Linked DNA regions of Callithrix jacchus. Each later gene encodes a partner of the first gene's protein in a complex. Links are inferred from orthologs where the notes say so. Each region holds a gene or a part of one and is shown in the gene's direction. Other genes may lie near its edges.

Region 1 (9,811 bases):
TGACCTATCTTTCAGTTCATTAATTATCTCTTTCACTGTGTCTAATCTGTTTCAAACACATCCACTGAATTTATAACTTCAGCTAGTATATTTTTTGTTTGAAAATTTCCATTAGATTCTTATATACCCCACTTCTCTGCTGAACATTTTCGTCTCATAATCTACTTTCTTGAACATATTAATCACATTCCTTTAAAGTCTATGTATGATAATGTCAATATCCTGTTGACATAATAATTCCATGGGATTATTTCTTATATGTATTTTGGCTTTGGATCATTTGTCTTCTGGTTTTCTTTGTGAACTTTATCCGGATATTGTGTATGGAAATATTTTCATTAGTTTGAGGCCCTGGATGATGCTATTTTCCTCAGTATATTTCCCTTTGCTTCAGGCTGGCCTTGGGAAAGAGGGCAGATCAGTTGAGTCTGGGATTGAGCCCTTTGGAAGCTTGATTTCAGACTTTGAGAGGGATGATCCAGTCACCCCTCAGCCTTCCTCCCCTACTGCAGCACTCAGTGCTCTCGGCTGAAGGTCTGGGTCACTCAGCAGAGCCTATCTTGGGGGCCGTCACCAATTATTGCGTCCCCAACCCTGTAAGACTCAAAAGCTCACTCAGAGTGTCAACTTCTTCCCAGTGCATATGTGAGACTGAATTGTGTCCTCCAGCATTCACATAGTGAAGCCCATTTCATCTGGAGATAGGACCTTTAAGGAGGTGGTAAGGATGGGGCCCTAATCCCATAGTACCAGTGTCCTTGCAAGAGGAGGAAGAGACACCAGAGATCTCTCCATCTGCACACACAGGGGAAAGGCCATGTGAGAACATGCCAAGGTGGCCACATACGAGCTGGGAGGAGAGGCTTCACTGGACACCAACCCTGATGGCTCACTGATTTTGGGCTTCCAGTCTCCAGAACTGCCTGGAGGCTGGGAAATAACTATCCATGGTTTGTATTTTTTTATGAAAGTCTGGGCTGAATAATACAGGATACTTATCACCAAATGCCTCAAAGAAAAAAAAAAAAACAAAAAACAACTTGCCTTTTTCCTGAGGTGGTGGGAGGTCTTTGCCCCTCAGAGAAAAATTTGTTTTTGTAACTATCCGATATACTTAAACAGATTTAAAAATATTTTATACCGATTTTTGAGCTATTTTTCTTGGGTTTGTCTGAGGCAACCAGTCCTTCCTAACTGTAAGGAAAAACTTCTCTGAATGCTTCAGGCATTTCTCCTCACACCACCCATCTCAGTGTCTGTCTTCTCTCAGCCATTCAATACTCAGGGGTCCTTTCCATTTATAGAGTCAAATATTTCTTTAGTTCAGAGAATTTTATTTTCTTTTGTTTAAAACAAGGTCTCGTCCTTCTGCCCAGGCTGGAGTGCAGTGGTGTGATCTCGACTCACTGCAGCCTCTCCTGAGTTCAAGCGATTCTCCAGCCTCAGCCTCCCAAATAGCCAGGATTAAAGGCATGCATCACCACACCTGGCTAATTTTTGTATTTTTAGTAGAGACGGGTCGTCACCATGTTGCTCAGGCTGGTCTCGAACTCCTGACGTCAGGAAATACACCTGCCTCAGTCTGTCAAAGTGCTGGCATTACAGGCAGGAACCACTGCACTGGGCCTCAGAGATACTTTCTTCAATCCTTTGATTTTTGTCCTGCCTTCCTTTTTTCCACCTTCTCCTTCTGTAGCTCCTGTCAGGTGGACACAGCCCTTCCTGTACTGAGGCCCAGTGTCCTGGCTTCCCACCTTCCCTCTCTTTAGTTCTCTGTCATGGGAGAGTCCTGTGACTTTGGCAGTTGTGTCCTCAGCCAGGACCCCTCTCCTAGTCAGCACACGGGTTGAGCTTTCACGTCAGCAATCCTCTTACTCATTTCCCAGCTCCTGCCTTCTTGTAAGTCTTCTTGGGACCATCACCAGGTGTTGGCGACACTGAGGACGGGCTCTGGCAGTCTCGGATCTGGACCCTGTGCTCATGGTAGGCCCTGGTTTTTCCTGAGCTCTGGTTTCTCTGGTCCATTCGATCCCCTTTGGCTGTGTCCTTCAGAAACCTGTTGGTGTTTGGTCTACCAGCAGTGCCCTTTGTGTCCCCGCAGCTCAGTGGAGCCTTTTTGCATCTTTGTGGTCACAGGAAGGATTTGGGGCAGGTCAGAGTGTGGGAGCAGCGTTCTTTCTTCGCAGACACAGCATGACTTGATTCGGACCACCATCATCTTTTAGCCTGCTCTTGAAAACTGAATGTCATCTGAGCATCCTTGATATTCGTGACACGGCTTTTTGTCAGAGGAATGCACCTGGCTTAACCGCGAGTGGTAACACACCTGGGCTCCACGTGTCATCAGTTCTAAGCTGCGTGTTTCTCACGTCCACAACATGAAGCGGGCTGCCTTATCCACAGCCCGTGGGAATCTAATGTCCGTGCTACCGTGTGGTCTTATGTTTTAGGATCAACAGTGTCTCGGAGTCGGCCTGCCCTGCGACTCTCCCCACCAGCAATCTAGGGGCTCTGAGCCCCGCTTCCCCTCGCAAGGGGCTGGTTGCAGGGGTCCCCCTCCCAAGACAGCCTAAGCCGGCCGCCCACCTCCGCATCCTCTGCGAGGCCTTGGGTTCCAGGTTCCAGAAAGATGGGACCACACCCTGGGACCTGGGCTGACCGTCCGACCCTCTCACCGAGAGACCTCCCCGGCCTTCCCGCTCCTCAGTGGGGGCTCTAGCCAAGAAAGCCAATTCTTAAGAGTGGAAGTTACGGTCCGCTAAGATTTGTCCCCTGGCTTTGCGACCGCGCTCGGTTGGCTGGGCCGTCCCCGGCTCAGAGGCTTAGGTTCAAATCCAGGTCCTGCCCTTTCCCGGCTGAGCCTGCGGGGTCCGGCTCCCCCGCCTCCGCCATGCCCGGATGGCACCGCCCTGGCACTGCCGAGGGACGCAGGGGTGCCCGCCCTCACGCGCATTCCATCCGAGAACCTGGGATCACAGACTCGGAGGCGGGGAGGGCCGGGCACCCCAGGAATGGCGCCGCAAGTCCGGGGAGGCCCTGCCGGCCCCGCGCTCCAGCGCGTTTCCCGCATCCGCGAGCCCCCGTTCCGCCGGCACCGGCGGCGTCCAGCCTGGGTTTGCCCGCGCTCGGCGCTGCTCACCAGCGCTGACCTGGGGATGGTTGGGCCGCCCAGTGCCTCAGTTTCCTCGTAGGTAAAACGGGTCTTCCTGAGGACGGGTTTGAGGGCCCGGCACAGCCCGGTGGGAGCGGCGGCCGAGGGAGCCCGGCCCGGGCTGACAACGGACAGGAAGCTGCCGCTGCAAGGAGCCGCGTGGCGCCCCCAACCGTCCCGGGTGCGGGCCTGATTCGCGCGGCCTCGGCGGCCGGGACCCCGCGGGCGCCTTGTCCGCTCCGTCCGCGGCTCCCGAGAGGGAACGTCGCCCCCAGGGGCCTCCCTCCTCCGCCTCACGGGCTGCGGCCCGGCCTCACTTCCCGCACCCCAGGAACGCTGTCCCCAGAAAAGGAGTCGGGGCCAGGGCGCGGGAGGGGAGGCAGGCAGGGGTCCCCAGGGCCCGGGCTCCCCGCACGCGCCTCTGGCCCGCGCACCCCAGTGCCCTAGGCCGTCTGAGCCCGCCGGGGTCGCGCCGGACCCGCCCCGTGACGCATCTCCAAGCGCCGGGAGCCGCGGCCAGGCCAGCGCGCGCCCGACGCCCCAGGGAGCGCGCCTCGTGCACGCGCGCAGACACGTGACCCCCCGCCGGCCAACGAGCGCGCCGGGATTTGGGGGATAAAGCGCGGCCCCGCGCGCAGTTGCGGCGGGAGAGCGGCGGGGCCGTGAGCGTGACTCGCCCGCTCCGCGCTGCTTCCCCCGCGCCGCCTGCCCGCGCCGCCCGAGCAGCCATGTCCGAGGAGAAGCCCAAGGTAAGCGCGGCGCCCCCGTCTGCACGCGCGGCCATCGCGGGCGTCTTGGGCGCGTCCGCCGACGCGCGCCGCTCCCCGTCGGCCCGAGGAAACCGCGGCGACCTCGGGGACCCGCGCCCAGGCCGGCGGCGCCGCCTGCGCTCCCGTCCCTTCTCTTCCCTCCCCTCCCCCGCTCCGCCCGGCTCGCCGCTCCCCTCCCCCGCCCGGCGGCGCTCGGCGGCGCGCCCCGCCTCCAGCCCGGCTCCGCCCCCAACAAGACTCCGCCCCTTCTCTCCTCCCATAGCCAGGCTCCGCCCCGCTCCCCACCCCTTGTAGTGTCCCGCCCCGAAGTGGAACCGCCTAAGGCGCGCCCCGCCCCGAAGCGCTCTGTGCCTCCAGTTCCGCCCCCGCCGGGCCTGGCCACGCCCTTGCTCCACGCCCCGCCCCTCCCCGGCCGGGAAGCGGCAGGTCTTGCGCCGGGTGTGGGCCCCGCGCTGCTTCTGCCCAGCGCGGCGCCCTCCGATCTCGCCCCGGCGGTGCCCCTGAGGCGTCTTTGCGTGGCCTTCTCTTGAGTCATTGCCCGGTGGCGTCGCCCTCTCCCGCCGCATCGCCCTGGGAGGGTCGCATGTTGAGCGCACGGGTTGGCTCTGGGATTAGCGTCCGGGGTTACCCCGGAGGGGCGTGCTCTGAGGGGCTTGGCCCCTGTGAACAGCTCTGCCATCCTTTCAGGGTGCCCATCGCGCGCCTGGTATTCACCCATTTCTCCACATCGTGTCCCCGTGTGTGCTCACCCCTCTCCTTCGCGATCCCCAATCGTGCCCCCAGTGTACCCATCCTCCCCTTCGCGACCCCCCTTCCCCGTGTGCGCCCACCCCTCCACATCGCATCCCCGGTGTGTGCCCACCTCTCTTCGAGACTCCCCAATCGTGTCCCCAGTATGCACCCATCCCTCCCCGTGTGTACCCACCCACTCCACCATGTGCGCCCGTGTGCGCCCACCCCTTTCACCTCGTTCCCTAGTGTGCACCCACCCCTCCCCATCGTATCCCCCTTCGTGTGCGCCCACCCCCTCCCCATCGCACCTCCCGTTGTGTACCCACCCTTCCCCATCGGGTTCCCCAGTGTGCGTCCACCCTTCCCAACCCCACCCCCACCCCTGTCTGCGCCCATCCCCTATGCATGCCCACCCCTCCTTAGCCAGCCTTGGGTGTGTTTTAGTTTCCTCGATTGCCACACTGGAGTATGCAATCCTGTCTCAGTCCTGGGGTGTGCACCCTTCACTAAGGTGCACTGGCCTGTCTTTGGGAGGGTCTGTAGTCATGTTGACCAGGATTAAAAAAACAGAAACTACTTGACTAGCCTAAAAAAAAAAGAGAAACTTAGGCCGGGCGCGGTGGCCTATAATCCCAGCACTTTGGGAGGCGGAGGCGGGTGGATCACGAAGTCAAGAGATTGAGACCATCCTGGTCAACGAGGTGAAACCCCATCTTTACTAAAAATACAAAACTTGGCTGGGCATGGTGGTGCGCACCCGTAGTCCCAGCTACTTGGGAGGCTGAGGCAGGAGAATTGCTTGAACCCAGAAGGCGGAGGTTGCAGTGAGCCGAGATCCTGCCATTGCACTCCAGTGTGGGTAACAACAGCGAAACTCCGTCTCAAAAAAAGAAAGAGAAACTTCTGAAGCCCTTGGTGTGCACTGTCGACCAAGTGGAAGATGGTGTCATATCCCAGTGGAAGATGACTAGAGCTGAAGACTCTGTAAGGAGGCTGTCTCTGATACTGGCCTGGTCCTGGAGGTGACCACCCTCCGTTTACAAGTGAGCGTGGAGGTTCAGTGCTAGACACTAGTGGGAACTGGGATTGAAGCTCCTGGAACCACGGGCGGGGTCTCTCTGGAAGGCTGCACTCCACTTGCTGTGTAGTGAAACTCCAGGGAAACCTCTATCCAGTGTTTGGAGTGACCTTTGCTTTTTACAGTTTGACTTCAGTGAACTCAAACTTCTTCCACCCCTGGGGTTGTTGGAATATTTAAATACTTGTTAAAACTAGGCCAGATATACAGGTGGATCACCTGAGGTCAGCAGTTTGAGACCAGCCTGGCCAACATGATGAAACCCTGTCTCTACTAAAAATACAAAAAGTTAACCAGGCGTATTGGCACACTCCTGTAGTCCCAGCTACTTGGGAGGCTGAGGCAGGAGGATCTCTTGAACCAGGGCGGGAGAGGTTGCAGTGAGCCAAGATCGCACCACTGCACTCCAGCCTGGGTGACAGTGAAACTCAGACTCCAAAAAACAAAAAGCAAAAAAACTAGGCCAAGGATAAGTGTCTGTTGTGTTTTTGTAGGTAGCTTCCTCTTAGCGAAGAGTAAATGAAGAACCTATGAGACCCATTTTCTCAGCAGTGTTTAAACCTAGCTCTGCCACGTGCTCAACTTCAGGGTCCAATTCCGTTGAAAATACTTGTTCAGTTCCGGAATGACTGATGGCTGCCACCTCACCGGACCCACTTGTGGTGGGTCCCCTTCGTGTGTGTGGGAGCAGCTCTGCCCTGGGCCTCTGAGGAAGGGGAAGAAGTGGACCCTGGGACCCAGTGGTGCTGGGAAGAAGAGCTTTTGGGTCAGGTGGAGAATAGTTCTGACTTCCCCGAATAGCTGAGGCAGAGGATTGCCTGTAGTGAACTGGGGTCCATGTTTTTAGGGCTTCTTTTTTTTTGAGACGGAGTCTGGCTCTGTTGCCAGGCTGGAGTACAGTGGCGCAATCTCAGCTCACTGCAACCTCCACCTCCCGGGTTCAAGTGATATCCTGCCTCAGCCTCCCGAGTAGCTGGGACTACAGGCAGCTGCCAGCATGCCCGGCTAATTTTCGTATTTTTAGTAGAGACGGGTTTTCACCATGTTGGCCAGGATGGTCTCTATCTCTTGACCTTGTGATCTGCCCGCCTCGGCCTCCCAAAGTGCTGGGATTACAGGCGTGAGCCACTGCGCCCGGCCCAGGGCTTCATTTTTTAACTCACGAGTTCATTTGTTTATTAGGAATTCACCAGGGATCTGGAACAGACTGTTCATTCCTGGCATCTGGCTGTTAATGGGGCAGAGGTGCTGTGGCTGGCCCTGCCCTGCCCCAGCCTCTCCCGGGGCCGCAGCCATTGCCCGGTGTGGGCAGGTCTGGGTCCTGCATCTGTGCCTTTGAACACACCCATATCTTCCTTCCCTAAAGAAACCAGTGAGTCCTCATGCTTGGGGAAGTGAAGGGGGTTCATGCAGGGGTCCCCACTAACATCCTGCCCGGAGTGGTCTGCATGCCCTCACTTCCTGGGCCAGTTTTTTCTGTGCTGGAGGCCACATTGGGGGTGAGGGGGTGGGGGGATGGGGGTGTGCCAGCTCACCACTCAAGCTGCTGCGAAGCCAGTGTCCTCCCTGGAGTGGGCAGGGATGCCTGGTCCAAGACTGGAGTTGGGGGGTGAGTGCCACCTCAGAATATACATCTTCAGGCTTGTGGCTGGAGCCCCTCACTGCCAGGGCCCCTCACAGGCCACTCTTGCTCCCTTGACAGAGAGCACCATACCTCCCCAAGGGTCTCCAGGAATGTACAGTGCTCCCTCTGGGAGCACCTCCGCGTAGGGTGAGAAGGTACCAGGGTGCTCCAGACTTGACGTTCAGATGCCCCGTCGCTTCACTCAGACGGCTTCACCCAGCAGTGCAGGCAGCCTGAGGGGTGTCCCACTTTGCTGCTCAGACTGAGCTGCCCCGAAGTTGGCTCCCAATCTGTTGACATCGGCTTCTTGCCTCAACTGAAAATGCATTTCCAGGCAACAAGACACGCTGATTGTGCCTTGCTGAGCAGCTTCAAGCATGGCATGAATTAAAAAATAAAATGCTACCCGCTGCTCTCAGATGGGACAGTTTGAAACCAGAAAGTACTCGGAGATGGCTCCCTTCACATTTGCCAATGACAGGGCAGTGAGAAGGAGCCTGGCTGCCCGCCGTGGGAAGCGGCTCTCCTCAATTGCATTCCTGAGGTCACCACTTTAATGACCCACAGGGTCCCTCTGAGTCGCAAATGTTTTGTTCTGTTTTGGTTTCTTTTACTAGTGCTGAATAGCTGTAGTGACTTGTGGATATGTCTTTTTACTGCTTTCATAAGAATAATTTTTTAAAAAAGAGATGGGGTCTTGCTGTGTTGCCCAGGCTGGTCTCAAACTCCTGGGCCCAAGCCATCCTCCCACGTCAGCCTCCCAGAGTGCTGGGTTGATGGGTGTGAGCCACTGTGCCCAGCCCACAAGAATCACTTTAAAATAAAGATGGATCTTCTCTGATTTTTCCCTAGCTTTATTAAACGGGTTTTCTTTGAATTAACCATGTTAGAGGACTGTAGATTCGCATTGTTTTACCCACAGATGCTTAACAAGTGGAAGTTAAAAATCAATTCCGTGTAAAAATGAGACAATCACATGAGTGATTCCGACTCCTGGACAGTTTTAAGAACTAGGTTGTCTTTAAGGACTTCAAAGAGCTGATGGTCACCTAAGGACCTGCCCTGCAAAGTCGCGGTTATTTTGAGACACAGTTTTGAGGCCAGTCTCTGGTGTCCCCTGCAGGAGGGCGTGAAGACAGAGAACGACCACATCAACCTGAAGGTGGCCGGGCAGGACGGCTCCGTGGTGCAGTTCAAGATCAAGAGGCACACACCGCTGAGCAAGCTGATGAAGGCCTACTGCGAGAGGCAGGTGCGCGCCTCGGCCCCCCGCACGGCTTCCCGCGTGTGTGCAGGTCCCGTGGGTTCCAGGCATCCCGGGAACATGAGTGTCGGGGCTGGACCCAGCTGCAGCTGCTCGAGGCGCCCTCCTCACGGACAGGCGGGTGGGCGGGTGCTTGTGTTGTAAACTTGGCCCAGGCTGGGCTTGCTGACTGTGCCCCCACGGCCTTTTATGTGGCGGGGGGCCCTGGAGGCTCAGATGAGTGCAGTGGGGTTTTCTTCCTGACAAGGCGGCTTCCTGGGGGCTGTGTTCTTCATGGGGCACTGACATCTGTGAAGTCTGTGATGCTGAAGGCTGTTGGGAGCCCTGCCCGGGGCTGGCCTTTCTGCAGCTGCAGGTGGCGTGTGCCCCATGGCACTGTCACCTTGTCCTTGCATATGAGCTGGAGTAGCCCGGGAGAAACAGTGCCCTCATCTGCAGTGTGGTTTTCCCTTTTGTTAGGAAAGGAAAGAAAGTGTGTGATTCTTTCTCCTCCTTCTCCAGTTTCAGGATAATGAGCTGCCTCACTGGCAGTGCCCTGCTGGGCGGACGCCTTCTGGTTGCTGTGTGATTGTGGACTTGGTATGTGTGTGCGTGTCAGTCATTCTTGGTAGTGCTCGGAGGACTCGCCCTGGGCCAGGGGGTCCCTCTCCAGGCCACTCCTATGGGCTTTGCCTGCTGGCTGCTGCCTGGAGTGTTGGGGGTCTGGCCCTGCAGCCAGGTGCCTTTCCCCAGGGAGCCCTGCTTCCCTGAGTGGGACCTGGAGGCTGCTTTTCTTTAGCTGTTTTGAAAATGCAGCAACTCGTCGCCCTTTTATTTTACTCTCTTGCCTATGGATTTTCAGTTAGATTTTCTCCTCTTTACCTCGCGCTTCTGATACCCTGCTTGTGAGAGGCAGTCACTGGCCACCACCTTGCACGCTGTTGGCAAGCAGCCCCTCTGACTTCTGTTTGCTGAAGGCAGATCTTATTTTCACCTGCAAAAGGTGAAACTGAGCTTCTGGACATGCAGGCCCCGATCTTCCCAGCAGAGTGAGCGACCCAGCCTCTGCCTGGTGCTGGACCCTGGCCCTTGTTGGAGTGTGTGCTGCCTGGGCTGGTGGTCACTGTGTATATGACTTCCCAGGTGCCCGCATAGTCTGCTGTGCTGCAGGATGGCAGGCGTGTGGGGCTGTGTACATGTCTCTGGCTCTGCT
Region 2 (9,908 bases), on another chromosome or scaffold:
TCCTATCATTCTTCAGTGGTTTCCCGGAGCACAAGTGCCCATAAGACTTAGAAGGCACTGCACGATCCGGCTCTTACACCACCTGTATTGTTCTCTCTCCATCATCAAGTCACATTGGCCCATTCCACCCCTTCGCATTTCACAGCCTGTTGTCCCCTTTTCTGGAAAGCTCTTCTCTCTTTGCCTGGCTATTGCATATTCATCCTTCAGGCCTTCCTGAGAAAGGTTTTTCTGACTTCTCAGGCCATATTACATCCCGTTTTATCCTCTGAAACATGGTGTTATTTTCCTTCATTGTACTAGCACCGTTCTGCTTATATAACCATGTGTGATTGTGTGATGACTGCCTTAGTCCCACAAGACTATACACTTCATGAGAGCAAAGTACCTGTTTTATTTACTACTTTATTCCCAGTGCCAAGCATAGCACCTGAGACAGTATGTGCTCAACAAATTTTCTTGGAAGGAAGTGAAAGAAGGAATAAGAGTAGGAGGGAAAAAGGAAAGGAAGAAGGAAAGGACGGGGAAGGAAGGAAGCAAGGAGGCAGGCAGAAGAGGAGGAATGGAAGGTTTATTGGGGCTGGGAAAATGTTGGATTTCTTTTCTTTAGTGGGAAATCTGAAAGAGTTAAGAGTGGCCATTTACCTGAGCCACACAGACCCCAGGGTTTAAAGGCAGAAGTTGAACATCAGAATTTTGTTCATGAGACAATACTGAGTTCAAACCACAGAAGCAGGTCCAAATGGTCATCAGAGCACAGGGAGTCTGAGGTGGGTATTAGGTACATCAGAGCAAAAGGAGAATGAGAAAAGCAGAAAAGATGAGGGCAAATAAGAAATCATCTGTACAAATTCAAGAAACAGCAGGAAAAAGCCACCAGCTGGGTTTATTTCTTGCTGCTTTCCACGCAGGAGCAAAGGAAGTCTGATTAAAGGGATGTAGACAACACACAGTTGTCTGTGTGTAAGGAAGAAAAGAAAAAAGGGGCTGGGCGCGGTGGCTCAAGCCTGTAATCCCAGCACTTTGGGAGGCCGAGGCAGGTGGATCATGAGGTCAAGAGATCGAGACCGTCCTGGTCAACTTGGTGAAACCCCGTCTCTACTAAAAATACAAAAAATTAGCTGGGCATGGTGGTGCGAGCCTGTAATCCCAGCTACTCGGGAGGCTGAGGCAGGAGAATTGCCTGAACACAGGAGGTGGAGGTTGCGGTGAGCCAAGATGGCGCCATTGCACTCCAGCCTGGGTAACAAGAGCGAAACTCTGTCTCAAAGGAAAAAAGAAAGAAAAGAAAAACTAAAAAAGGAAGGAGGAAGGAAGGGAGGGAGGGAGAAAAGGAGGGGCTAGCTGTGAGCCAGTCAGCTCACTCTTCTCTACATCTCTATGGCATCTTATTTTGAACCAATTCAACATTTTGAACCAAAGTTATTAAGTTCTTAAGTTACACATTATTCCATATTCTCTAATCCTCCTTAATCATAAGCTCCTGGGGAACAGCAAAAGTGTCTAGTTCATTTTCTCATTTCCTATGGAGTCCAGTCCCAACAATTTCAAATACAAGTGCTCAAAAATATGGCTAAATACTATATATATATATATTTCATAAGTGTCGGGAGTTGTTACTTTAATGAAATTATTAACTTTTTGAGGAAAACCTTTTAGTCCTGAAAATACAAGGGAGTTGAGCTAAATAATGTGTAAGACATTTCCAAACAGCAAGCTCTTGTGGCAATGGCGAGGATATGTCTTATACATATGTTTTATAACCTATCATTTCTAATACTGGGCAAATAGTGGGAACTCAATAAAGTTTTGCAGTAAATGGACTCCAATATAGATGTATTTAAGTTGAAAAGAAACTTACAGATGTGTTTCTGAAGCGTCACATAAATTGCTTGTGAATTAAACATTACTTAGAGCATACATGAGAAACCTATTAAATGTTTCCTAAGATGAAAAATTTTTTACAATATTTAGAATCATTTTGTAAAATCACAACTCATTTAGTCAATTTTTTTAAGTTTCATATTTTATATACCAAGGATGCTGACAATAGAATAAACCGGAATGGTAGTTTACAGTTACGAGCCAATTGATTAAATATTGACAAAATTAAGTTATTCTTCATAGAGAGAAGTGTCCACTGTTTCCCAAAGGATCCCTAACTCTCTCACTTCTTCCTTTCCCTCCCCATCCCTCTTTCTCTCTCTCTGTTTCACATACACAGAGACTTTCCCTCCTGGGTCTTAACTTATATTTCAGCTTTGGTAGATTTACCTTGATTTATAATACTATGTATACAACTTTCACTTTCCCATATTCCTTTCCACATTTCTCTCCCTTGTTTACCCACACGCCTCACCAGTTTTAAAAATAGGTATGCTTCCCACGGTGTCTGGATCATCCGTAGTGTCTAGACTCTTCAAGGTATCTGTCTTTGGTATGAATGTGCTGGAAGTTGAAGCTTCCCCAGCTGAGAAGCAATAGCTTTAGGTCACTCTCAAGGTGAGTTGCAGGGAAGGGAGTGTTCCTTACTCTCTTTCATTTTCCCTATGACTCTCAGTTCTCCAGGGCTTTCTTTCCAAAAATCCAGTGAAAAAATCAGAGAAGTGATGACTGTTCTCAACAACTCTCTTACCTCAAAAATATTCTATTCCCTTGATATAAATGGCGGAAAAGCAGAACATATAACTAGATGCTTTGAGGTGGGGTGGATAAGAAGGCCATTTTTCCTTTGGACTTGTTTTATCTTATAGTTTCGGAGTGTCAGTTATAATGACAATAAAGATTCTCACAGATTAGCCCACACTAATCTGTGAGAATGTTGTTAAAGTAATTTACAAAACAACACAGAAATCAATGACCAGCTAATGGGATCAATTTTGTTCCCCGTCAACTCTCAAGTCCTCCTTATCTGCCTGGCATCTAACACAACAAACTAGGCCAAAATCTTACCTATACTTACACATGGAAAAGACATGACTTAGTGATCAATATTTTATCAAAGTGAGAATGTGATAAACAAGGTCAGCTGACTCCTAAAATCCATATTTACATTAGAAAGCCTCACAACCTGTATTGAGACTTCTTGTGAGAGAACCCATTCTCTCACTAGAGTATGATCAGGAGACGTTGGTACCTGTTCTCTGACGAGTCCTGACTAATTGGCGAGACTGAATCACACACATGAAAAATTTCAGATGAAACTCGTCTTTATGCATGGCTGTCTCCTAGAAAGAGAGACAGAGTTTAATCCAAATGAACAGAGTTGTGGAATAAGATGTCAGTGACTGACATGGAACAGCTATGCTTAATGCTACTAGGCCTCAGGACTTGACAATACGTAAGTATCAACATATGGGGCGACACAATGTACTTTGAGATATTTGATAGGGCAGGAACTCAGCAAGCTGCTAAGAGTATTAGAAAGGCATGGGCCTCCAGAAACTGCCCTTCTTCAAGCCTGAGCTCAGACTGTGCCTGTGGCTGTGGTATGAGTGTAAAGGACCTACTGAGGGGGGATTTCTCTGAGACTTCTACAGGACCTGGGTCCAGAGGCCTGCCAAGCTGAGGTGTTTGACAAACAGTCTGAATGAGCAAACATATTTCTTCTCATTCTTTTTATTTTTTATTTTTGAGACGTTGTCTCGTTCTGTTGCACAGGCTGGAGTGCAATGGGCATTCTCGGCTCACCGCAACCTCCGTCTCCCGGGTTCTAGCAATTCTCCTGCCTCAGCCTCCCAAGTAGCTGGGAATACAGGTGCGTGCCACCAAGCCCGGCTAAGTTCCGTATTTTTTTTTTTTTTTTTTTGGAGACAGAGTCGTGATCTGTCGCCAGGCTGGAGTGAAGTGGCGCAATCTCGGCTCACTGCAACTCCACCTCCTGGGTTCAGGCAATTCTCCTGCCTCAGCCTCCCAAGTAGCTGGGACTACAGACGTGCGCCATCACGCCTAGCTAATTTTTGTATTTTTTAGTAGAGACCGGGTTTCACCACGTTGGTCAGGCTGGTCTTGAACCCTTGACCTCATGATTTGCCCGCCTCAGCCTCCCAAAGTGCTGGGATTACAGATGTGAACCACCGTGACTGACTTCTTCCCATTATTTTCTTTTAGAAAGTATGGCAGATTTCAGGTTAATCAATGAGACCTAGGAACAACCAAGCCCTTCAGAGGTCACAGGTGATTCCTGGTTCCTTCCCTATCTCTACCCAGAAAAGCAGATCTCTGGTGGACTCCCAGTAGCTTTCCTCACAGCCCTGCCTATGTTTCAAATCCCTCCAGAGTTCTGGAAGGTTCTACATCTTGCCAGAGCCTAACCTCATCCGTCCCCAAGCAGCTTTCTCTTTTTTGTATGCTGGTCCATCAAGCATGAGGTGGTGCAGAGCAGAACTGCCAGTTAAGAAACTTGCTTCCGAGTCTTAGATGCGACATGCATTTAAAACCCTTGGGAAATCACTTCTCTGAACCCGGTTAAGACCATAAACTATCTCCAATAACCTGTACAAGCGCTAACGTTCTGTGATTCTCAACAGCACACGAGATAGCCTGACATCGATTTAGATCTCAGGTCTCCATCTGTCGGGGGAAGCCACGGGTTTCCGCAGATCTGGGGCCGCAGCGAAAAGCTGCCATAGAAACTGGAACGCAAGCAAAACTCGCCGAGCGGAACCAGAAGGAGGCGGGTAAGGGAGCTGAGGGAACAGAGAAAAGCATAGGACGAAGGGCTCACTAACAGTATTCCGGGCGCGAGAAAGCGAAAAGGCCCAGACTGAAAAGGGAACTGAGAAATTACGACTCGTCTTAAATGCTCCCTTGACTTCTGGGGACTTGCCACACCGCGCAGGCGTCCCACTGGTCCTTAGCTCTGCTCTTTGACCTCCTGCCCCAACCCCCTTCCTCCGCAGCCACCGAACGGCTCTTCCGGTGCTGTGAAGGCGGTTCCGGTTCGCGGCGGTTCCCGGGTTTTGCGTTCCGCGCCCGGCCGGAAACCCCTTCGCATGGCAGCCGGTTCCGGTTCGGTGAGTGGCGGCGGGAAGCTGGGGGAGGGGTGAGGATGGAGGGAACCTGGGCCAGGAGGCTGTGTCGGACCCGGTCCGCCGGCCCGGACTGGACTGGGCGGAAGCGAGGAGCACTGTGGGGCCGGCGCCTTTACCTCTGCCCCGCCCCCTGGGACCACCTCCCCTCCCCCCTGCTGTCCGGTGGCCGTGCGGTGGCCGCCGGTGGCCGTTAGGCTACCTGAGGCCCTTCCTTGCGGTCCTCTCTCCCGGGCCGCGGAGAGGCCGTCTCCCAGCCGTTACAACAGGCCCATCCCCGCGCCCTGCCGTACTTGTGGGAAAAGGCCGGTTGGGATTCCGGGGCTTTCCCGCCAGAGCAGGGTCTTGCGTAGGGAGAGCTGCTTTCCCCGGGAAGCTCGGCCGTCTACGCTGCCGGCTTCACCTCCCGCCTTCCTTGAGACCTGAGTGGTATTTCCGGACTCCCCCTGCGCCCCACGTAAACATTTCTCCAACTCTCTTGCTCTGTGGTGTCTCCCTGAGCGGTGCTACCGCTGGTGCCACCAGCAGAAAGACACGGCCGGACCCTCCTGCTCAGGTTATGAAGATCCCCTTCACGGCCCCAGTGGCTTACCTGGCTCATCGCCTCCGGGTAATTCCCTGGAACCGGCCCCCTGGGTGCACCCGAACGTGGTCCTGGATATGCGCCTCGTTTCCCTTCCCTCGAGCTTGGGGATTTCTGTTTATCGGTGTCTGTGCAGTATTTCCACTATCTGGCTGGCATCACTTGCTCCTTTATCACTGTCAAGTCAGCCTCGTTAAAGTCATTTTACTTCGTCTTTGGTACACATTATACTTGGAGTGGTGGTGATTCTTGTAATATTCACATAAAGCCTTTTATCTACTACCAACGATTTCACTGAGGGTCTTTGTTGTAATGGGTTATTCTGGACGGATTAGAGCACATCGTCTCCTAAATCTTTATCGTTCATAAAAATAATTTGTGTTTCAACTCGTGTTGAAATACAGATTACCCTGACTTTGAAATTACAGTTACACTGAAACTTTAATCATCTCTTTAAGGATGATCCCTTAACCTACTTCCACTCTACAACCCCCCACCCGCCCCCTTTATTTTTCTTCTTTAGTACCTTTTAGGAAGTCTTATTCTTTTTTTTCTTTTTTTTTTTTGAGACAAAGTTTCGCTCTCGTTACCCAGGCTGCAGTGCAATGGCGCCATCTCGGCTCACCGCAACCTCCGCCTCCTGTGTTCAGGCAATTCTCTTGCCTCAGCCTCCTGAGTAGCTGGGATTACAGGCACGCGCCACCATGCCCAGCTAATTTTTTGTATTTTTAGTGGAGACGGGGTTTCACCGTGTTGACCAGGATGGTCTCGATCTCTTGACCTCGTGATCCACCCGCCTCGGCCTCCCAAAGTGCTGGGATTACAGGCTTGAGCCACCGCGCCCAGCCCAGGCTTATTCATTTTTAACTGACTTCAATTCATTACCCCAGTTGCAAAGACGGTCTTCGTATCACTCATCTAACGAGCTGTCTGGAGGGAGTAGATGGATGCAAAAACAGGTTCTGCTACTTCTGGCTAAGGGCATGCAGTTGTTGACTACGCCTTTGGAAATCTGTCTTTTTCTTCCGAACTTCTTCTTCTATCAATCGTACTAGCTCTGCTGTCTTGCTGTATCTGTTTACGGATCTGGCTTTCCCTACTAGACAGTGAGCTTCTCAGTGGCAGGGACGCTCTCTTAATCATTTTTGTATTCCCAGCACCCTGCACGTAGTTGGTGCACAGTAAATGAATATGTATGAAAAAATTTGAATACTTAGGGTTTACTGTGTTAGAGTGTTAAGGTGTTTAAGGTGTTAGAGTCTGATTGGGAGAGATTACATGTAAAGATAGAGGGGAAGAAATAACCTCAAGCACATGATGATACAGTACAACTGTTGTACACATAACTTTTTCAGAACTTGGAAAAGGGTGATTTCACGTGATTGCTTTCATACCCTTCTCATGTCATAAATTCTGCTCACCACATCTTGGTCTTGGATAAAGCTAACATTAGCTCAATATATATTTTCTAGTAACTTCATTTCAGCCCTGAACATTGTCTTTTATAATCCCCTTTGCATGTGTGTAAGACTGTAAATGTGTCACCGCAGTTGTCAAGCCTGATCTTTTTTGTTCTTTCAGATTTCCCTTCACCTTGTGTTCAGCTACTAACCCGACTTCATCTGAATGACTGTAACTGCTTATGTTCTTCCAGGAAATCAAATGACCAGTGTGTACGAGGAAGTGAATTATTAGGATACTTTTTTTTTAAAAGAAAAGATTTTTCAGTTGCAGGAATTTAGTGGCATCAGAGGTTCCAGATTCAACATTTTCATGGAGAATCTTGGGGTAAAATATTCCTTCTCCCAGTGTAACTGCAGGTGGCGAAAGGAATGTACCATAAGCACACTGAAGAAGCTGGATGTATTTGTATTAAAATATAAATGTGGGGCTTTATTTAAAATCAAAAATCAGTGTGGATTCCCCAGGGTTAGTGAGGGATTACTTTTGGATTGCCAGTGTGTATGAATCTTTGAGGCTGTGTTGAAGGATTTGAAGTTGTACGATGTTTGAAATGTGCACTTTCCCTGGAGTCAGGATACATGGATTCTTATATTCTTTTTGCCCCATCTTTGTGATTTCAGGCAAGTCACTTAACCTCTCTGGATATAATCTGTAGAATTCTTTGAATTTCTAGCTTCCTTTTCTTTTCACATCTGTCTCAACAAAATGCAGGGAGATTAACGTGGGATTATTCTGTTGGGCACCAGGCTTTCAAATTGGTATTCTTCTTAATATTTTTTTTTTTTTTGAGAGGGAGTTTCACCCTTGTTACCCAGGCTGGAGTGCAATGGCGCGATCTCGGCTCACCGCAACCTCCACCTCCTGGGTTCAGGCAATTCTCCTGCCTCAGCCTCCTGAGTAGCTGGGATTACAGGCACGCGCCACCATGCCCAGCTAATTTTTTGTATTTTTAGTAGAGACGGGGTTTCACCACATTGACCAGAATGGTCTCGATCTCTTGACCTCGTGATCCACCCGCCTTGGCCTCCCAAAGTGCTGGGATTACAGTCATGAGCCACCGCGCCCGGCCTTCTTCTTAATATTTAAAAAAAAAAGGCTAGCGATGACAAAGCAACCTTAAAGAGTAAAATGTCAAAAAAAAAGTGTTGCTAATATATTGGTTGATATGATTTTTTCCCCCTTAACCCCCTTAATCTGGAACCCGGGGGATTCTACTCTGTTAAAGAAGAAGGAAGGAGAAAGAATACCTAAAGAATTTTTAGATAAAGAAGCCTTTTAAGTTGAGCATTTGAAAATATATTTGAAGCCTAAATCTAAGGCTTAAATTCTTTAGGGCTCCTCCCTGGTAAGAGGAGGTAATCAGATAATTACTCTACTTAGTCTATAGCTATGCCAAGAGAACTTTAAGCAGCCTTTCTCTCTGTGAGTTTCATTACTGTGACCACAAAGAATGCCTATTATCGTCATCCAGTCTCATGAATACATTGAAGCCCTAGGATTGCTATGTAGTTGATGTAGTGTAGTGCTTGATATTTTAAAAAATATGGTTATAAGATTATAAATATATATAGGTGTGACTATTATCATCCCTAGTGTCTTCCTCCTCTTGGAAATCTCCGAAGACCATATGTGCTAGAGATATGTTTATTAACCTAGTTCCAAATAGTTTGGTTTTTGTTTTGGAGACCCTTCATTCTGTTGCCCAGGCTGGAGTGCAGTGGTGGTATCTCGGCTCACTGCAACCTCTGCTTCCCGGATTCAAGCAATTCTCCTGTCTCAGCCTTCTGAGTAGCTGGTACTACAGGTGCTCACCACCACACCTGGCTAATTTTTGTATTTTTAGTAGATGATTTCACTGTGTTGGCCAGGCTGGCCTTGAACTCCTGACCTCAAGTGATCCGCCCTCCTTGGCCTCCCAAAGTGTTGGGATTACAAGCGTGAGCCACCATGCCTGGCCAGCAGTTTGGTTTTAACATCTTTATTTTGTGGAAAAAGTGGATACATCAGAGGAAACAGTAATTTTTATATAGGCAAAGGAGCTTCGGTTTGTAGCAGTTTGATTGATGATTGAGGGGAAGTACTTTGTACTACTGCAAAGCAGTCCTTGATTGTCATTAGGTATCAAGTCACTGAGTAAGAAAAGTCTCAATAGGACCATCACAAAGTCTCTCACTTGTTTATGAAGTGATTTAGCGTGAGGTAATAGAACAATGGATTGGGAAGAATTTCTAGGTTGTAATTTCAATGTAGTTGCTAACATTGTGACTTTATGCAAACCGCCCAGTCTCTTAAGGGTTGGCTCTCCCAACTTGCTTCTTGCTTTAATAATCTGTGATTCCGTGGGTAGTCTGTAATTGCTGTTTAATTTAGCACAGGTTGCAGAAATGTTTGGAAGTACCTCAAGCTAGTTTTAGTTTTTCCATCAAGTCAACTCTTTGCACCTTAGATTTTTCTTTTCTTTTTTTTTTTTTGCACCTTAGATTTTTCTCCGCTAAGAACACAAACATTGGAAACCAGAAAAAAAGAAAAAGAAAAAAAAAAGAACACAAATGTTACTTCTACTGGCTGCACCCTCTAAAATTAAGTGAAGTGTTTCAGTGTGTAATTTTTCTGTTTTTGTCTTCTTTTATAGGACTTTGTATCTTTGCTAAAGTCAGTGATGTGAAAAGACTTGAAATGGGTAAGACTAGTTGTTGAATCCTGTTAGCTACTCTTATTGGTTAAGCTGGAGTGAAAGAATGGGTTTTCCTAACATTTTCAGTATTTTTATCTTTGTGCTTAATAATAATTTTGTGAGAGATCTTGATCCTAATTATGTGATACTGTATACC
Region 3 (9,965 bases), on another chromosome or scaffold:
ACAGTCTCATCTCTGTGGCCCAGGCTGGAGTTCAGAGGCATGATCTTGGGTCACTGCAGTCTCACCTCCCAAGTTCAAGCCATTTTAGTGCCTCAGCCTCCTGAGTAGCTAGTATTGCAGCCATGCCCTCAAACTCCTGACCTCAAGTGATCTGCCCGCCTCAGTCTCCCAAAGTGCTGGGATTACAGGCTTGAGCCACCGTGCCTAGCCTTAGACCTTGTTTTCTTAGTGGTAAAGTGAGAATATCTAGAAGTTGCATGTTACACAAATTCAACCATACATGCTGGGCAAAAAATTTTAAAGGAAAATATCAGCTTAACAGTACTAATTGAGTACACGCCTTGGAATGAGCATAAGCTGGAAAGAACAAACTGTTGTTACATCAATCAGTTGCAGTTCTCATATGCCACTCATTGTAAATCTTGCTCAGTGGCATGATTTTAGTGTTTAAACATTTGTTTGTTTGTTTAGGATAAAGTCCCTACACATAATCCACCTGCTTCATCTATACATGCATATGCATACTATGGATATATGTATATATACATGCATTCTCAAATGCAGAAACAGCCATTCAGGTGATGTGATTTATCTCATATGCTTGCTTTAGAGTCAAATAGGTTGTTGACTCCACTATACCATACTGGCATATCTTCATGCCATAAGTCAAAGCACGGGACCCAGCTGTGCCATTGGCTAGAGCACAAATATATGCACACATGTGAGATTGATGTACATAGAAAGTTATTCATTGCACAATGCTCTTTAATAAAGATCTGGAAAAAAACACCTAAATGTTCAAAAGATAGGGTTGATGAAATAATGGTACATTATAAAATGGAATATTATGCAGCCATAAACATAAGGAAATATCTTGCATAATAACAGAACAACTTTTAAGGCACGTGAACAAAAAAGGTACATAATCAATATGCATGATATGTACCACTTATATAGAAAAAGGGAAAAAACATTATATATATTTATTTGCTCATACATGTATAACATTTTTTCTGAAAAATATGCCAGAAACTGGTAGTGCTGGTTGCTTCCTAGGCAGAGAATGAGATGGCTGAGGAACAGATGTGGAAGAAAAGACTTCACAGAGTATCCTTTTATACCTTTTGAATTTTGAACCATGTGAATGAATGTGTTAGCTATGAACAAAATGACAAGTTTAGATCAGCAAGACAGCAGTTTGAGATGAAATGGGATCATATCCTTAGTAGGAAAAACTTTTAAAAATAGGCGGTACTCCTAACAGTAAATATCTGCATATGGAATGTTGAAACTGTAAGGAACTTTCCATAAGAGATCCATCTGAGCGCGGTGGCTCATGCCTGTAAGCCCAGCACTTTGAAAGGCCAAGGTGGGCAGATCACGAGGTCAGGAGATCCAGACCATCCTGGCCAACATGGTGAAATCCCGTCGCTACTAAAAATACAAAAATTAGCTGGGCATGGTGATGTGTGCCTGTAATCCCAGCTACTCGGGAGGCTGAGGCAGGAGAATCACTTGAACCCAGGAGGTGGAGGCTGCAGTGAGCCATGATCACGCCACCGCACTCCAGCCTGGCAACAGAGCTAGACTCCGCCTCCAAAAAAAAAAAAAAAAAAAAAGAGATTCATCTATTCCAAACTTCTCATTTTATAAATCTGTAAACCGAGACCTTAAAAACTCAGTGACTTATGTAAGGTCACATAGCAGAAGACATGGGATCAACTTTATTCCCATTTTCTCATTTTCTATCGGCAAAACAGCCAAGTTTGGACTACATTACAAGTTGTCATGTTTCATCTAAATTTTAAAGCCTAAAGTATAAACTAACCTTAAGCCCTCAAACTATTAATTTCTTGTTTGGCTCACTATATGGCTACACTTACAAATAAGCTGTACATACCTTTTTCATTGCATGTATACAATATGATAGATGCACGATATGACAGACACACAATATGATACATGTATTTTTTCTATCCTAATAAATCTGAATTTACTGAAAGAACTAAAATATCTTTAGTTACTTTAATTTTTTAAAATATGTACGTGTGTTGCCAAAAACATTAATACAGGTTTACAATTCCTTAACTAAAACCAAAGGGTTGGATGTGTTTTAGAAATAATAATTTCATACAGTTTTTAAATGTAACAAGGTACACAAACCATTATATAACACCCCACATAGCGGGGGCCAAGGGCAGCACCCCATAATCAAACATACTAATAGAGTTTCAGCAAAACACATGGGATAAAGACTATATACAGTTTCTCAAAAGTTCAGGTCATATTTTGCTATCAAATGACTTTTGTTGCTAAGCTTAAGAAGTTTTAGGTTTTCAGCGCTTTCTGAATGTTAAATTGAGATGTGGGATGTATTCATAAGGGTGCTTCTAGAAAGTAAAGTCAGTCACTTCGACTCTCATCTTTTTGATAAGACTAGAAAAAGAAATCATAGCAAGCAGCTTTTATATCCCAGGTTTGGGCCAAACACTTGTATAGTGGTTAAGGGTGCAAGAGGTGACATCATGAGTGGCCAAAATGGGGGTGGGGGGAGAAAATCCTAAATGTACAGCACTGAACTATTGCAGCTGTTCGTTAGTTATTAATTTAATAAAAGCGTCTTCCTTTAAATCATGAGTTTTTAACTGGAAATAGGTCAATAAAATTTCTGTCCCACATCGCTGACAAGGGGAGGGAGGCAATGAGCGAGCAAACCCTCTGGAAGGTACTGCACTCTCTCTAGGACCAGGGTACACAGACAAAAGCATTTCAAATATATAGAAATAAGCAGAAATATATACAGTATTTTCAAGTTGGGACGGTTACTCTCTAATATAAACGAAAGGGGTTTTCTAGTCCATCTCTGCGGATCTCCTATATCAAAGTTCTTCCCTTTATCTTAAAAGTCTTGTACTACCTTTTACAAGGGGAAAAAGCTCTGGAGATAGAACAAATTAAAATCCCTTCCTTTCTCTTTACAACTCAAGCGCCACCTCCATTTTGTTACTAATAATTTTTTTCTGAAAAAAAAATCAAATTTACACTGAGACTAAAATTCAACTTGGCAGACAACGTTTTTGCAACAATGTTTTAAAAATATAATTCAGTTTCGTGATGTGGTTTTGCAGTCTTACAATTTTAGCTACATTTTAACTGAACCAATTGTTTTCAATTTATAAGTTCATATTTAGCAAGTTTTTTTTTTTTTTTTTTACAAATAGTGTATTTCATTCTAAAAATGGAAATAGCACTGGTGAGCAAGAAAACAACCCTCTGAATTCTGGCTATTTTGAGGAGGAAATACTACTTTCTCAAATTTTAATCACAATACATAAAAAAAAAAAAAAAACTAGCTAGACCTTAAATACACAAACACATTAATAATCTAGTTTAATAAAAACAACAGAAAAAGGTAAACAAACTAACCAGCCTATTTTTGTCTGGAGAAAGCCCAACAAACTCTGTTGGATTCCTTGGCCATTTGCATTCAGAAGTACCAAAAACTAAAATCATTTTTACTAAAGAATTTATTCTACACGATACTTGTTTCCTCCATACCACGGTATCCAAATGATCAGCATTATTCCAGAACACAATCATTTAGTTTTAGACCACTAAAAACCCCACAGTTCAAAATGCCAGTTGTGGTTAGTCTGCAAAGAAACAGAAAGTACAAATTGTTATCCTAAGGCACAGAACCAATCGACCAAAAGGACTTCTGGAATATGCTGCCCCCAAGATTTAGAATGCACACGCAGAAATAGCACAAGCGGTCACGATGTCCCTTAAGCCACATGACCTTCCTACGAAAGCAGAGGCTTAAACTTATCAAATGAGAACTCCCCCTTTCTCTGAAGTTAAAACAAGGCAGGGCAGCTGGAATTAGTGCAGCAGGGACAGATCGGCTGCTGACTAGTCAGAACGGGTCGTGGAATGCAAAGTCCCTGTGCTTTCGCTGCTCCCCTTACCGTGAGAAGATCTGGGAGGGAGGAAGGGAGGAGAAACACCCCAGAATCCTGGTAGAAAAGCCCCTGGCTCGAAGGTGGGCTCTAGGGAGACAGGGAGGGGCACCTCCGTGTGTGATGACCCTTTGTGAACATGCACTCTGTGGCAGCTTTGGCTCCACCGAGGCTTTGGGAGAGCGGACTACGGATGCCCAGGGCGGCCGCGCTGTGAAAGCCGCGCCGGCGGAGAGCCTCCATGGCAGTACCGCCGGCTTCGGGAGCCCTTCCCTCTCCCACCTCCGCGGGTCACTCCAGGGCCCGGCGGTTCCCGACCACGCTCTCGCGGACCAGGAACCAGCGGAGCGTAAGCAGGTCTTTTTCCTTAGCGTAATCCCTCCGCAGCGGCCGCGCACTAGTTTTAATCACGCCCCACCCCCGGCCGCTGGCGCCACCTCCGCCACTCGAGCGCTTTCCAGCAGCTTCCAGAAACGTCGCCTCCCCAAACCCAGCCACTCACACATGGCGGGCTGAGCAGTCACCGGCCCCGCCCCTACTTGTCGCCGCAGTCGCAACTGCGTCTGCGGCCGCAGGGCAGGCAGCCACGCCTCTGCGGAAAGCGACCGGAAGTGCTTCCGTCTTCACTTTCCCCACCACGCCGCAGTCCTTTTAGGCCCTGCGTGCAGCAGGAAGGGGGACTCTCTTGCCGCGGACTCAAGCCGGAAGCCACCTTCCTAGTGGAGACGCGAGTGGGGGAGGAGCAGTCCGAGTGGAACGTGGGTTGAACGTTGCAACTAGGTGGTGTGGAGATCAAGCTGGAACAGGAGTTCCGAACGACCCGGTACGAAGAAGGGGAGTGCCCATGGCAGGTACGGGAAAAGAGGGAGAGGTTCCTTTTCCCTCTCGAAATAGGGAAAAGAGACAGAGCTGGGATGACCTATGGGGTAGTCGGCGCGCTGAAAGGCTGGTCTGGGCTCGGACGGGGTTCAAGTGGGAAAGGTTGATGATTAAGGTACAGAGTTGGACTTACAGATCCGTTTGGGCGCAGAGAGGTGAACGCTGAAGAGAAACCAGAGTTTGTTTTTGTTTTCCAAGGAGCGTGGAGATGAGCAGGGTTAACGGACTGTGCGCCTCCTTAGGCTTCTTAGGTTGGGTCGAAACTCACCTCTTTTGGTCCTGTTCGTCTCTGATTGAAGACGTTTGGGTTTGGTACCAGACAGGGCTCGGTGCGGAAAGCCGACCCTATTCCTCGGCTTCCAGGTCGGTTTGGCCTCGCTTTTGACAGTTCACGTGCCGAGCCTACTAGCTCTCGGAGGGCAAGCTCAGATGGGTGGGTGTGAGGCCCCCTCTTCTAACAGCTGTTTCCCTGGTTTCTCCATTTTGCACACAGGAATGTGAATTAAGTTTAATTGCATACCTTTTGCGATTCCCAGGGCCAGCTTGATACGTTCATTGTGCTGTAACTGGGTTCATGCTGGGCTAATAATTCACATTAAGGATTCTGGAGTATAAGTGGCTCATAAAAGTATGAAAAGGGGATGTTAGGAGAAAGATGTTGGGGGTGAAGTAGAGTTGAAGATAAAACTGGAAAGCTTGGTTGGTTTCACAGTACGAGTTTAGGTCATAGTACTGCCTTTAGGTTATATTGGGCTGTTTGGACTGACTTTGCTGTAATCAGGCTGGAGTAAATAGAGAATTTTAAGCTGATCATTGACAGGCTCAGACTTATCTTATAGGGGCACCATTTTGACAGTAAGATGGAAGGGAAAGAGGTGGGGATCTGAGACCTTTCCAAACAATTGTCAACAGAGTTTTGTGTGACTTACTGTGTGAAGAGGGAAATAAAGAATATGGAACAACTCAGACTTTATAGTCTGTGTGTTTCGAAGGATGGAGATGCCCACATTTAAGTGAGATATGGAAAGGAGGAGGAGATTGCTTTTGAATGGAGAAAGAGCGGTTACTTAGGGTCAGATTAAGTTGTAAAATCCACCCCAGCATTTTGTATGTAAGTCAAAGTGAATTGTATTTGAAAGAAGACCTGGTGAGCTCACCTCTGGTATTTTTTTTTTTTATGTCCCCCATATGGACAAATTTTCTTTTGGGGGATTCTATATATTCAGGATTTCAACCACCAACCTATCTGTTTTTCCCATTGAAATGTTGGGTGATGGAATTCAGAGAGCAGATTTGGAAGCTTTTTATCTTTTATAATTGAGAGAGACAATGAGAAAACCGTTTGACTTGAAAAAGTTTTCTAAGTTCCCTCAGGTAGATGGAAATTTTCATCAAAAACAGTTTATTCAAGGTACATAGCCTACTAGTTTCCCTTTTGAGAGTCCAGCAGAATGCTGCAAGTTGTACTGCTTTTTCTCTATGCAGAATGAAGTATAAAATTAGTACCAAATAGTAGGCTTAATTTGTCAGGTGCTAAGCCTTTTACGTGCTTTATATCATCTAATTCTTAGAAGAAACCAATTTTACAGGTAAGTTTCTGGACCAAGATCCGAAGGTACACAGCTTGCAAAGCAGGGACCATGGAAGTTTGACTCCCACCTAGTTCCCTGCTGTTGTTATTGTTGCTGTTGTTATTGTTGTTTTTGAGATGGAGTCTTGCTCTGTCACCCAGGATGGAGTGCAATGGCATGATCTTGGCTCACTGCAATTTCCACCTTCTGGGTTCAAGCAATTCTCCTGCCTTAGCCTCCCAAGTAGCTGGGATTACAGGCGCCTGTCACCATGCCCTCCTAATTTTTTGCATTTTTAGTAGAGGTAAGGTCTCAAACTCCTGACCATGTGATCTGCCTACTTCGGCCTTCCAAAGTGCTGGGATTACAGATGGTCAGACCTGTCCTCTAGCTCCCTTTTGTAAGTAAATTAGAAATAGAACCAGCCAAAGGTAGTAAGTTGAGCCTAAAAAGAAAGAAAAAAGCACCAGTAGTTCTCACCAGAAGGGGTGATTTTTGCCTACCAGGGGACATTTGGCAAGTCGGGAAACATTTTTGGCTATTGGATCTAGGGAGTAAAGGTCAGTGATGCTGCTAAGCATCCTTCAGTGCATAGGACAGCCTTCACAAATAATTATTTGGTCAAAGCTATCTGTCCTGCTGCAGTTGAGAAACCCTATCTTAGGGTTATTTCTTCAGGAACAGGAAATTGAGATTCACTGATACTGACTTTTTCAAAAAAGCGATTTTATTTTTGAAATTATTCCTTGGCTTGAAAGGTTTGTGAAGTTTATATAGCTGAACCAAAATAGAATAATTAGTTTTTAAAGTGAATTGTGAGCCATCGATTCCTAGGAGATAGTTGTCATAGAATCACGGATTCTTGGATTTGGGAAAGACTTATGCCTAGAATCATCTTACAACCTTTCTGCTAAGTGGTAATTCGCCTCTGCCCTAAAGGTCCTCTGTATTTCATTTCCCTATGATTGTAAGCCCACAATTAAACTACTCTTAATTAATTTTTGCTTACACTGAGCTCCAGTGTCTCATAATTTTGACTATTAAATGTGGTTCTATGACATGGGACTACACTCGAAACAAGTTGGCCACATGTGTGATTTGTACTAGGACAGTGTTTATATTTTTGTTTTGATAATAACAAAATAAGTTAAATGTGGTGTAAATTAGGTCATTTAAAATAATGTGTTAGCAGCTTTTAATAAGTAGTATTGTAGTATTTTTCCCAGCTGGTAAAGTATTCATGTTCTTGGTAGTTGAAAACAATAGGAATGTGGTTCATTGGTTCTTTTGTCCCTGTCAAATAATGGCACAATGGATCTGGGGTTTTTTAAGTACTTTCTCAGTATAATGCTGGCATATTTGTTTCAAATTGTACATAGACTCTAAAAAGTGAGGTTTTCAAATTCTGGTCAATATAGTGTGCTTTAAATAGTAGCTACCTCTACTACAAGTTTTATTTAATTTGTTCGCAAATGAATCTGCTATGAAAACTGGTCCTGTTGCCAGTCACTACCCTCTGTCCACAAACTTGCTAGGTTTATAAATACGGGTATCATTTTCACATCAAGATTTTACTTTTAGAATATGTTTATTCTAGGACATGTAGCCCTGAAAATCTGCTTAACATATGCGTCTTATAAAATAGCATGGTTCTTTTTTATAGTAAATAGAATTTTTATTTAATTGTCTATTAACTTTTTTTTTCCAGGGTTCATTGAAAAAAATCCTTAGTGATATTGACATGTTTCAAGTGACATAAATTAGCCAATGACTCGGAATGATGGATTCCTCGAAGATTGGAAATGGTTTGCCAGTGATTGGACCAGGGGCTGATATAGGGGTATCTTCACTCCACATGGTGGGGTATTTGGGAAAAGTTAGTGAACTTATTTTTTGCCTGAGTGCAAAGTTTTTTTTCTCTATTTTTGAGACTTAAATTCAGTTTTGATGTTACCAGTTAACTTCTAAAAAATTGTATCTTCCACGGAAATCTTACAGTAATGGCGAAAGATTGTTTTAATGTGTTTTACCTCTCTGTCTTTTATTGATATATGAAAGTAGAAATGAAACATAGACCTTATGATTTTCTGCTCTTTGAAAATATGGAACGTAAGTTCTCCCTGGCAGTTGATGTTACTTTTTTTCTTGCAAATAAAATTGATGCTATTCTTAACACTCAAAACTTAATATTTAAAACTATAACAATTCTTTTTGGAATATTAGCTGTATTTAAAGGCTTATATACATTTCTTTTATTTGCCATGTTTAAAATATCTTGCCAGGATACTTATAATTGAAAATTATATTTTTTTCTGATTACCTTTCCATTTAACTTTTAATATTTTGATATGTTCTAAGAATGTCTATATTTTAATTTGCTTTATTTCTCTTTTAGAATTACGATTCAGCTGAAGTTCCATCAGATGGGTATTGCCCTGCTTGTAGAAAGAAGGGAAAGTTAAAAGCCTTAAAGACTTATCGAATTAGTTTTCAAGAATCTGTCTTTCTATGTGAGGATCTGCAGGTAAACTATTAATCTTTTATAGTATATAGTTTTAGCCTTTTGTTTTTTCTTAATTGTTTTAAAATTTTACTCATTTTTTCTTTTTTAGACTAGATTTTTAATATGTAATCTCAGTTTCTAAGCCTGTCTGGTATACAATTTGAAATGTATGTTATTTTTTCACCTACTTTTCCTGATTGCATAACAATGTTTGTTTTCATTGCCATTTGACTTGTAAGAGGAAGAAATACATTTCAAGATTTTTGTTTCTTTTTTTTTTACCTTGTGGAGGTCCTTGTTGGCCATTAGCATATTGTCATTCTCTGTCATCTCTTTGGTTTGCCTTTGGAACTGATGGGAAAAGTTATGAATCTCTAATGTACCTGGAAGAGTATTTTGGAAATTGGTTAGTCCAAAATCAATATATATGCTCTGAAATAAATAGATCATAGGGGGGAACGATCCAAGATGGCTGATCGCTAACATCTCAGGATTGCAGCTCTCAGTGAAAGCGCAGAGAACTAGAGGACGCCACACTTTCAGACATATTCTGGTCGCTCACGGAGCAGAAGATCCCCAGTGGAGGAGTCACACCGGTCGCCAGCGCGACTCATGTGGCCGGCACAGCGGTTTTGCTGGCACCTCGGCGCAGCAGCTCTCGGAGCAGAGTAAACGGGGCTGGCTCCCCTTCTGACCGAGGTTTGGAGGACCCACACGGGTCCCCAGCACGACTCCGGAGGCCGGTGCAGTGGCTGTGACGGCACCTCGGTGAGGCAGCTCTCGGCGCTGAGTAAACGAGACTGGTTCCCCTTCTGACCGAGGTTTGGAGCCCCGGGAAGGCAGAGTCGCCTATTACGGACACAAGAAGGAAGCCAGACAGGAGAATCCTGGGCAGAAAAGCACCATCAGTCTTAACGCTGCTGTTCTGGCCCTGGGAACTAACAACTTGGACGTCCACTCAAGAGACGTAAGCTGAAAGTTGGTAATTTCAAAGACGACAGGAGGATAAATTTACAATGATGGGAAGAAACCACCATAAAAAGGCTGAAAATA

The links.
Region 2: the proteins of SUMO3 (region 1) and SENP1 are in contact, whole or in part, in a crystal structure (PDB 6NNQ), measured with the Homo sapiens proteins. The link is inferred for Callithrix jacchus from reciprocal best matches to the Homo sapiens genes SUMO3 and SENP1. Residues at the interface, in NP_008867.2 of Homo sapiens: Gln24, Ser53, Arg55, Gln56, Arg58, Arg60, Asp62, Gly63, Pro65, Asn67, Thr69, Asp70, Gln74, Glu76, Asp84, Phe86, Gln87, Gln88, Gln89, Thr90, Gly91, Gly92; in NP_001254523.1 of Homo sapiens: Gln440, Asp441, Glu446, Arg449, Leu450, Thr451, Lys455, Trp465, Leu466, Asn467, Asp468, Glu469, Asn494, Thr495, Phe496, Lys500, Arg511, Trp512, Lys514, Lys515, His529, Gly531, Val532, His533, Trp534, Gln597, Gly600, Ser601, Asp602, Cys603.
Region 3: the proteins of SUMO3 (region 1) and USPL1 are in contact, whole or in part, in a crystal structure (PDB 7ZJU), measured with the Homo sapiens proteins. The link is inferred for Callithrix jacchus from reciprocal best matches to the Homo sapiens genes SUMO3 and USPL1. Residues at the interface, in NP_008867.2 of Homo sapiens: Gln24, Asp25, Gly26, Ser27, Val28, Arg58, Arg60, Gly63, Gln64, Pro65, Ile66, Asn67, Asp70, Leu75, Phe86, Gln87, Gln89, Thr90, Gly91; in NP_005791.3 of Homo sapiens: Ala234, Cys236, Trp237, Pro321, Gln322, Leu323, Arg324, Met330, Glu331, Ser332, Val334, Phe335, Leu339, Tyr368, Thr378, Thr380, His393, Phe394, Gly395, Pro396, Asn398, Arg407, His421, Val423, Tyr451, Asn454, Asn455, His456, Phe457, His493.

The regions. Positions count from the first base shown.
Region 1 is NC_133522.1:50,469,540-50,479,350, reverse strand, and holds the start of SUMO3 (small ubiquitin-related modifier 3), read left to right. Parts: upstream 1-3,785; 5' UTR 3,786-3,879; coding exon 3,880-3,900; intron 3,901-8,478; coding exon 8,479-8,607; intron 8,608-9,811. UniProt on the Homo sapiens protein: Ubiquitin-like protein which can be covalently attached to target lysines either as a monomer or as a lysine-linked polymer. Does not seem to be involved in protein degradation and may function as an antagonist of ubiquitin in the degradation process.
Region 2 is NC_133510.1:2,419,638-2,429,545, reverse strand, and holds the start of SENP1 (sentrin-specific protease 1), read left to right. Parts: upstream 1-4,496; 5' UTR 4,497-4,679; exon of another isoform or gene 4,680-4,903; intron 4,904-4,922; exon of another isoform or gene 4,923-5,622; coding exon of another isoform or gene 5,623-5,631; exon of another isoform or gene 5,632-5,791; intron 5,792-9,709; 5' UTR 9,710-9,753; coding exon 9,754-9,757; intron 9,758-9,908. Other genes in the region: PFKM (ATP-dependent 6-phosphofructokinase, muscle type), read right to left, coding at 2,360-2,470, 3,137-3,227, 5,623-5,631. UniProt on the Homo sapiens protein: Protease that catalyzes two essential functions in the SUMO pathway.
Region 3 is NC_133506.1:149,818,673-149,828,637, forward strand, and holds the start of USPL1 (SUMO-specific isopeptidase USPL1), read left to right. Parts: upstream 1-4,677; 5' UTR 4,678-4,810; intron 4,811-8,117; 5' UTR 8,118-8,186; coding exon 8,187-8,285; intron 8,286-8,804; coding exon 8,805-8,933; intron 8,934-9,965. UniProt on the Homo sapiens protein: SUMO-specific isopeptidase involved in protein desumoylation. Specifically binds SUMO proteins with a higher affinity for SUMO2 and SUMO3 which it cleaves more efficiently. Also able to process full-length SUMO proteins to their mature forms.